2 linked regions of the Drosophila melanogaster genome follow. The protein of the gene in region 1 purifies or fractionates together with the protein of each later gene. This does not show direct contact. Each region holds a gene or a part of one and is shown on either strand. Other genes may lie near its edges.

The links.
Region 2: the proteins of ovo (region 1) and mamo purify together in Drosophila melanogaster (affinity purification with western blotting, with the first as the bait; one study listed by BioGRID). This does not show direct contact.

The regions. Positions count from the first base shown.
Region 1 is NC_004354.4:5,046,595-5,051,562, forward strand, and holds the start of ovo (ovo), read left to right. Parts: upstream 1-1,678; 5' UTR 1,679-2,536; coding exon 2,537-2,948; intron 2,949-4,968. UniProt on the Drosophila melanogaster protein: Transcriptional regulator with essential functions in the germline and soma. Plays an essential role in regulating the formation of apical cell extensions such as denticles and aristae, and initiating cytoskeletal remodeling during epidermal differentiation.
Region 2 is NC_004354.4:13,983,283-13,988,572, reverse strand, and holds the start of mamo (maternal gene required for meiosis), read left to right. Parts: upstream 1-2,130; 5' UTR 2,131-2,202; intron 2,203-2,498; 5' UTR 2,499-3,359; intron 3,360-5,290.

The sequences.
Region 1 (4,968 bases):
TTCTCCAATTCTCTCGCGATACACATCGATGCACGGAAATAAAATGAGTTTCAGATAATTGAATTACAAATTCTACCGATTATTTTCAATCAGAGGCCAACATTTTAAAAATGTGTTATTTCTTAAAATTTTAACTTGATATGAAATTAAAAAAAAAAAGGATTAAGTTGATCCTCAGTTTTATGTTATTATTCTATTAAGTTTTGAAGGGGCAGCGCACTAATTTCTTATGGTGCACCTCTCTCACCTGCGAACGAGGCTTCGTTTTCAGTTTCGGACGTGAGTTCGTCTTCGTTTTTACCTTCGGCTCGTTGCTCTCTCTCTCTCTACCTCCGCACACCAGCTCAAAGTTAGCTGTAAATTTGTTACGTCGCCGCAAAAGAGCGTATGCGTGCGTGTATGTATATGAGTGTGTGTGCCACACAGGTGTGCGACGCTCTGAATTCGCCGTCGCTTACATCACTTGCTCTCCATGTGTGTGTGTGTGTCGGTGAAATAACGTTAGTTATCCGTTGGCAGCGCACCTGTGCGGGTTGAAAAGAGATGGAGCTAGGCCTTCTTATTTGCCATTCTAAGCGCATTCTAAGCGATCTTCTCTCACACATACAAACGCATGCGCACAAGGATTTAGGGGAAGGAGAGAGCTGGTGAAAGAGAGAGAGAGAGAATGAGACGCACACCTGAGAGCGAGAAATGCCTGCGTTGCCAACTATTTTGCCGTTTAATTTCGCTTATATGGGTACATTTTTCCATCTTACTTGCCGCTGTTGCTTCTTCTTATTTGGCTCGTTATTTCTTCTTATTGTATTTACCGCGGTTCTCTTTCCATCGTTGTACACAAACACACTCGCACAGATATAATAATGATGAAATTCTTCAAGGGCCACAATCATGCCTCCTTTTTTGGGGTTCTTTTTATCGAAAATCAAATGACTTAGGAAACAAACTAGCCAGAATATTTAATTATAATTAGGAGGATATTTAAAAACATTATTTGCAAACTATTTCATTTAAACAAATCGTTTTAATAATTGATATCTATTGATAGGCTTAAGAACATTTAAGAAAAATATCTATTTAAATTTAGCTTTAATTCAATTATTTTAAGATGTGCTGTAAATACAAAGTCCTTAGTTCGAAAGTACAGTACAAAATTAACAAAAAATGACCGGAACATAAATATTTATATTGAAATTTTTCTAAATTTTCTATTAATTTGCCAATCCAACCAAATTCTAAGTACCACAAGTACAGCTCGCGGTATCGGGTAAAAACGATCTCAGCCGGCAAATGGCCAAGGCGAAGATTCTTGATCATGAGCGTGATCATCATTATCATCACTACCTTGACTCTGAGGAGGGAAAGAGAGGGCGCGTCAGAGAGACAGAGAGAGAGCGCGAAACTGCATGAGAAACGTTATGTGAGCGAAATGAGGCAACGCACACAAAACACTCTCACTCTCTCTCACACAGGTGCGCTTGGTTCGCCGTTTCGCCGCTGTTTTTCTCACCTGAGCAACGGCGAATATCTCGTTATTTTCTGACTCATACGAAAGGGAAGTTTCGCTCTTTCTCTCTCTCTCGATTTACGGTGTTTTAAATTCGCCGTCTAACTGAGTTTGTTGTAGCGGCGAGATCGATCGGTTGACTTTGGTTTGGCCTAACTGACTACCTCGAATACAGTAAGTTGCGAGCCGGCGTTGTGAATGCACGTGTTTTCGCTTAACTCACCTGGGCGAATCCCAAAGACCAAAGCAAACCATTAAACTCACATAAAACAATACAATTTATAAAAACGAAAACACTGTGTTGTGCATCAATCAATATAGTAATATATTGAATTACATCCATACAAAACAGAAACAAAATTTTTTTTGAGTAATATTTTTTACAAGTGCGCTGAATAACACAAATAAATCAAGAACCCAACAAGTGTTTGAAAACCCAAAAAATAAATTGGGAAAAACAAAAATTTCTCATAACCGAATATTTTTTTTTTTTGAAAACTTGGGGGAAAAATCAACACTTTTTTCGACAAGTCACCGAAAACTTAAAAAAAAATTGATTTTTCAAAAAAAGAACCAAGACTCGACACTGCCGAAAAGGCAATATTTTTCAAGTACATTTTTTCGAAGTGTTTTGACAAAACAAAGCAAAATTCTCGAACCAAAGAACAAAATCACGAAAGGACACCCCAAAACAATCCCTCAATTATAATTGACTTGACTTTGACTTGCAAAGCCGAAGAACTTTCAAAAGACATGAAGAGGGCAAAACAGAAGTTAACTTGAGCTCGGCTCATGACCAAATCAAAACTGAAATCAAGCAATTTTTTTTTTTTCAACACAGTGGACGAGCGGCGAACAAACATACACACACAATTGGATTAGTGTTTTGTTTATTTCGGACCCACTGTAACTGTCCCTCGTCCACCTGAAAATACGAAGAAATTCGTCGCCTCCTTGAATTCGTCGCGTGTCGCCGTCGCGTTTCGTTAAATCGCTTATCGTTCATCGCAAATCAACCGATAATCCATCATGCCGAAGATTTTCCTGATCAAAAATCGCCTGCATCAGCAGCAACAGCGCTTGCTTGAATCGCAAAACTTGCTGCAGCACAAGAATCAGGATGATGAGCGCTTGGTGCCGCCCCTCAGTCCAAGTGGGAGTGGTAGCGGCCCCTCGCCAACGCCCACATCCCAACCACCACCGGAACCGCAAGGTCAGGGGCAACAGGTGCTCGGACAGGTGCCCGATTCAGATCAACAGCCACTGAGCCTCACGCGCAAACGATTCCACCATCGTCGTCACTACTTCGGACAATCGCGCCACAGTCTCGATCATCTCAATCAAAATCAGAGCCCGAATCCAAATGCAAATGCAAATCCCAATCAAATACAAAATCCTGCGGAATTGGAAGTCGAATGCGCCACTGGCCAAGTTCAAAATGGTAAGTTGAACTTTTCTAAAACAGAGTCTAAAAATCTTTTCGCTGCCTTATACATAAATACACCTTTAGGAGCGATTAAATTTCCGTTTGCCAAACCGTTGTCACATAAATGCGTTCTGTTACTTGTTTGGAATACTCGAAGCACAAAATATCAAAGAACAACGCAAAGAATTTTAATTTACTTGGATAAATAATTGCTACAAATCTGTCAGTCAGTTTTTTTTTTTTTTTTTGGCCGATGGCAAATCGGCTGGCAATACAATGCGCCATATCTATTGCCTGGAAATCTTTTCAAATTTCAAGCTTCACTTTTGGGCAGCTTTTGTTATTGCTTTTCGCCCACACCATAACGAACTCGTCCCCAGTGTATCTTTGTATCTTTGTATCTATATCTGCCCTGTCTATCTTCCATTCTCCAAAACGGAGCTATGGGTTTACTTCGACATCAATCACTTTCATTGAATTTCGTAAGCGTATTATTTCGTTTTATTTATTTTTTTTTTTTATTTTGCCAAAAAAGCCAAGCAGAGTTCTCATGTCTCTGTTCTGATCTCTGTTTTCTGTTTTCAGTTTTCTTTTTATTTTCTGTCTGTTTCTGTTATATAATCGCCCAGCATGCTTATTAAGTCATTTCGATTTAGGCGGTGGTCTTAGGTTAAAGGTTTAAAATTTTCATAAATGATTAGGCGAGAAGAACTTTCTTCGTTTTCGGGGCGAGTTTTATTAATTAAGTTCTTTTCGATTTTATTTGAAAGTGAATTTCGTTCAGCGTTCTTTTGGCGTTTTTTTTCGCTAAAGTCTTTTGTTTCTAAGCATTTTTTAACTGCCCTTTGTCTGGCCTTAATTATATCTATATTTTTATGCAACCATTATGGCTCGACTTCACTTCAAGAGTAGCTTCTCTCACACGCAGCCTCATAATTTTGCCCCTTACGCAGGCATTATATTTCATGGTTATAGCTTATATATATTATTTTCACGGAGCGCGTAGTTGAGTGCTATATACAACATTTATTAAATTAAATAACATGTTACGTTCTCGGTTCCTCCCGGTTTATCGCCAAGCCAACCAAGTTCCCTTCATCATCTCTATCGCCCATCCACTTAAAAATGTATTATGAACGCTTCCGCTGTATAATTTTTATGAGTTCTGCGGATATTGTAATGGAAGTTATTTGAAGGGAAATCGTTTCGCAACGTTATATTCTCAAAGAAAAAATTTTTAAATTGGATAGAATTACACAGAAGTTGGTGAGCTCATCGGATTCGCATAACTTCATAACTAACACTTTGAAGTTTTAAGTTCCAACTTTGATCAATCTATGCAGGATTTAATATTATTTAGGTCTTGCACTCTAAACATGTGTTCTCATGCTGCTCTGATTTCAAAGAACCCTCTGGTCACACTGCTTGTTCACTTTTTTTTTTTTTTGTTCAATTACCGCTCGCTGTTCGTGTTTTTCTTGGCTTTAGTGGGCTGTGCCCATGGCCAAGAACTTCACACACTTGAGCGCACACTCACACACTAGAGCGAAGCTAGAACGAACGAAAAAAAAAAAATTATATAACTACCAAAGTACAAGGTACTAAAAGCCAGATACAAGAAAAAATCTCCTCTCAACCACGCAAAAGTACAAGTTTTGCCAGAAGATGAAGAACCAAAGCCAAAGCAAAAAGAAACGGAAAAAGAAAAAGAAAAGAGTGCGGAGCAGAAAAAGAACTTCATTTTGTTTGGTTTTGCAGCCTAGACTTGAGCTAAAGTTCCAACTACACACAATGACTAAGAAGATCATCATGACGATCATGAGAGCCAAGTTCAGTTGAGGAGGTGGAGCAGGAGAAGGTGGTTTGGGGATGAGGACGTTGGGTGGGGTGCATTGTAGGTACGTCGTCTGCCATTTGGCCTAAGCAAAGTCAAGGCAACTGGCCATAATAAAACTTGTAGAACCAGTCGAATTGAAGACTGGGGAGAAGAAACTCACCAGAAGAGGCAGGAAAGGCAAAAGAACAGAGCTTGTGA
Region 2 (5,290 bases), 8.9 Mb from region 1:
AAAAATCGCATTTTTTCCTGTGTCGAAAGTAATTTCTAAATAAAATTCTTCCCTTTACAAAAATACCCGCAAAATATATATTTATATTAGCAGTAAAAAATCCAACATCGCGCCGCGTAACTTCATTATTTTTTTCAAGTGTTTTTAAGAATTTTTTTTTTTTTGAATATAAAATATTGCAAGTGAAAGCAGCAGCAACTATTTTTGATTTTAGCAAATTGTGCTGTTTCTCAAAAAGTGTTTATGACAAAGTGCTAGAAAAACCGGAAGGACCACATATATATAATATACAAAAAATTACAGAATTTTCGTATTTTGTGTTTGTTGAGGATCACTTAAGTGCCCCAAAAGGTCATGTGTTTTTCTAAGGATTTTAATCATGCATAGCCAAGTTAAAAGTCTTAAGAGGGAAACTAGTGATGTTGCGTTTTCCAAGGACAACTAAAGTCATTCAAAGGATATTGTTTATCATTTCGAAAATGCATAATGTTTCATGTTTCATTTGTACACCATTTTATGTTTGAATTTGTGTGCTTACTCATTCTTATTTACAAGTGTTGACAAGTTCTAATAATAACATTTCGAAACCACGAAAGGAAAGATTCAAATATCCAGTGTTTTGAAGGATTGAAACTATGTTTTTAAGAAGTTAGTTGCAGTTATAAAGAATGTCAATTCCGAATTAAGTGTATAAATATTTTAGGCAAATTTTTAGTAGCTAGGTAGTGGCTATTTATTGCAACAGGCCCTCAAAAAATAATATGTAACTAATATTGTAATGTGTTTTCTTAAATTGTCACTTGTCCTGAATTTGTGAATTGATTAACAAGTGCCAAAAAAAAAACCCAAAAAAAAAAAAAAAAAAAAAAACTGCAGCTTAGACATCAGATTAGAAATTGCCGACGGAATATCGCAGAGCTCTGTTGAAAATATTCTGAGCGGAATTTTTAGTGCATATTAGAACTCTAAATATTAAATGATATTTCAATGATTTTTTTACTGTTTCTTTTTTATGTCAATTTGGCAATTGCATTGTATTATTTAAAGTTTAAATATTTCCATACTTCAATTTTAAATGTATTTGTATTATACTCAACTAAAACTTTTAAGGTTTTAGTGTGAAAGTAATTGTAATTAAAGATTACAATTTTCGATTTTAAATTTTGTATGAAAATGAATTAAAACGAATTGCCACATTTTTCATTTAGCCTTATTCATGTGCTTTACTACTAATTTTGTGGCATGCACATAAAATCGCACTTTTTTTTAAACCAGTGAATAAACATAATTATTTAAAAATGATAAGTTCATCATTTTTGTTGGAAAATGTATTAAAACTTGTTAGATTTATTAAAGCAAATTTATTGAATTTAATAAAAAATTTAAAAGAATAGTTTCGAACCTTGTTTTTTTTGTTTTGTTGAATTTATCAGTTTTTAATATTTTTCTTGCAAACCATTAAAATCGATCAGATTGCATTCCGTTTTAAGATTGATAAAAATGATAGTTTCAATTTTATTTGAGTGATTTGAGGGCATATATGGCATTATTAAAAATAATGCACATTCAACTAGAGTTCTTGTCCTGCGTATTAATTTGTTGGACCTTTCTTTGTCCTTTTATTTGAACCCCAAAAACTTTCGGGAAACATATGGCAGACGGTTGTGTGAGTGTTTGTGGGTTTTATTTTCTGAATGATATGTTGCTGCACTCGTACAGATTACGCATACGCTGCGTTGTCCACTGCGAAGAGAGAGAGAGAGCGAGCGAGCGAAAAGAGAGAGCGCCGCACCGTGCACTTTCTGCGATTGAGTGAAAGAGAAAAAGTGACTCGCGGTGGGAAACGAGGTGCATTTTGGCTCAGCTTTGCTGCGTTTTTCACCGACGCTGCTCTTTTACGAAGCGCGTGCGGCGCTCTTAGTACAAGCACACACCACTCACACACACACACACACACACACACACATACGTATGGACTACGATGTGCAGGGGCACCCACACATAGGCGAACGGGAATCACTCGGCAATACGAAGCAACGCAGTCGCAGTCGCAGCGCTGCCGCCGCGCTGCCAACGCCAATGCTCTTTGGGTTTTGGGCTTTTGGCCAGGCTTTTTGGTTTTGCAGCTCTGTCGGCTTTGGACTTTCGCAGAGATTTCACACGCGATGCGATTGCAGTTCTTGCAGACACTTTCATACGTTCGTTCGTGTTTATTTTCGTTAGCCTTAGCCGCAAACAGCAAATAAATTACATTTTGCCAAGCGACAAAATATTCAAATATTTTACGAATATTTGTACGGAAAATATTTTGGATTCTTTATCGTTTATTTTTTTTTTCTTCTTTATTTTTGTGCGCGGTTTTTGGAAACACGAATTTCGAGTAATAGGTCCTTTTGCATTCATTTCTGTCCTTCATTCATGAAATTAATTTTTTTTTGAATTTTTTTCAAGTGCTCTGCGTCGGTTTCTAACACTAGTTTTTGTATACTTTTTCCCAGGCATAAACTTAAACACAACAAAAATGTTTTATAAATATATTATTATAAAATAAAAAATTACAAATAAATGAAGTAACAGCGAAAGTTTTTAACAAAGTCAACAACAACAACAACCACACAAAAGAAGCAAGAAAATCCTTAAGCGTAATTTTTTTGTATTTCAACAATGCAACAACCACAACAACTACATCTACAACAGGGGCAACAACTGCAGCAGCAACAACAACCGCAAGAACAACAACATCAACAACAACCACAACAACCAAATGAAACAACAACTCAAGGCGGCTTTGCACGTGTGTGTGTGTGAACAACAACAACAACAACAACAACAACAACAAAAGCGACAACAAGCTAAAAACTTTAGAAAAACTTACAACAACTTTTTTGGACTTGGAGCATTTTTCGAAATCTAAACAGCCTAAAGTAAATACCGAAAAATATCCCGCAATTATTTTGTGTTTTTTTCCCCATCTCAAAAACTACAATTTCATTTCAAATAGAAAAACGCAAACAATTTAAACAAAAAACATGCTCTAAGGTTGTGTTAAAGGAAATTAAACCTATTTTGCACCTTAATTCTTTGATTTCAACAAAATTACAACAATTTTTTCCAAGTGAAAAATTTGTGCGAACCGCAGAAAACAGAAAAGTGGAAATAAACAAAAATCAAGTCAAATTTAATTCAATGCAAACAGCAAGTGCAACAACAACATCAACAACAACAACAACCACAAGAAATTCACCCAAAACATCAACAACAACAAAACCAACAACTGCGGCAAAGGCATCAACAACAACACCAACAACAAGAAGAAGAACGAGAACAAAGTTTTGAAACTGCGGTGTTTGGCGTTTATGGTGAGTTTTTTTTTACTTTTCAAACAATTTTTCAAATCATCGAATCATTTATTTGGCACTTCGTTTGCGATATTATTTTATCAAGTGTTTGCGTGGGTCAAAAATCGAACACGAAGTGCTACTCGATAAGAAAAGTGTTAGGTTTGGATGAATTTTGGCCATAAATGGATTAATAGCAAAAGTGTGAAGTGAGAGGAATGGAAAGTGTTGGACAAAAACTTGTTTGCGATTAATTTTGTCCATAGAAGCCTTGAATAAACTATAACTTTGAATTGCAAAAAAAAAACGGCGTTAATTAAATAAAATATTTGCAAAATTACTAGCCATTGGTGACTTAACTAAAATAAGGTGCTAAACAATTTAACTTTGATAAGAAATACACTTTAGGGTCATTGCTACTATAAATGTATGCTAGATATAATATTTTTGATTATATATATATAATATTTGTATATTATTATTCAGACAGACTTCAGTTATTGCTGATTATAAAGAACTTAATCGTAATGCCTATAGTTAAGTGTGAAGATAAACATAAGTTAGTTGATATAAAAAATGGCAATAAAACACCCAGACGTATACATAACTCTATTCACGAATCAGTTTTGTTACCCTTTCCATATATATATATATATATATATATATATATATTTTTTTTTTATCAACCGCTCTTTTGGCGACGACTGTAGCACTTCCCGTTTGAACCGGATGCGCTTTTGGAAAAATTTGCTGAATGTTATCAAATATGTAAAATGGAAATGCACTTTTCTGGGCCACAACAACTGGCAAAAAATAAAATGCATATATCGACAAAGCAAAAAGAGACAAAAAAAAAAAAATAAAGAAATAAATAGTAAGCCAATCAATAAATTGGCAAAAAGAAAAGTAAGTTAACTAAATGCTTGGTCAGTTTTAGAAGTCGCCAGCGAATAGAATCGGCAAGAAGAAAATTCTCGAACTTCCGGCGCCACCAGAGGCGCCAACTAATCATCGCTTTTTTTTTTTGTTTAGCTTAGTTAATCAGGAAATTGGGCAAAAAAAAAAAAACGCTAAAGAAATTGGAAAACTTTAAGATTCAACTTGAATAGATGACATGTTTTGTTAGCACTATAGAATGTTATAAACGTAGTGTAAGTTATGTTAGATTTTATTTTAAGTATTATAAGCAATATATCTCCTTTATATAGCTACGATTTGAAACGAATATAATTTATTAAGCTTATATAAGTGTTTTGTTCTAAAATTAAAGTGGATTTTTTTTTTTAAGAGAAGTCTGCACTTCATGTAATTAAAAACCCACAACACAAGACCTTAACAAGACGAAACGCACTGTCTAGCTTCTTAGCGCGCCTTATCCTCATTCCCATCGCTGTCTCTCGACTTTATCGCAATTATAAATATTTATAAGAAATGAGTCCATACAAACGAATATCATTCCCATTGCACTTGGTGGGGGGTTTTTGAGCGCCGTTTTAATGGCTTCTTTCGTGTTTTTTTTTTTTTTGTTTCTGTTTTGTTTTTCAAATAGTATTATTTTTTATTATTTTTTGCCATACTGCGCAGACGCAACAAGATTTGCAAAATATTCTAATATCATATAGTATATCATGTTTTATTTTTTGACATTTCCATTTCGTTTAATTTCAGTTACATTTTCGTTTGCAAAAATTCATTACAATTCGCGTAATTGCGTTGCCTTTGTGTGGATATTGTTCGTGTGTTTTTCTTCTCTTTTTTTATGTGCAACAGTTTTCGCTCGTGTGTTTTTTTCTAATTATTTTCCGCGAGTGTGATTGTGTGTGTGTGTGTGTGAGTGTGCCTGTGAGTGCAACTAATGAGCAACTGCCGGTCGACTTGCCAGCGGTTGAAATTATTAACTCATTATGGGGTCTCGGGTGTTTTAAGTGCCTCAAGTCAGCCTGTTTTGTTTC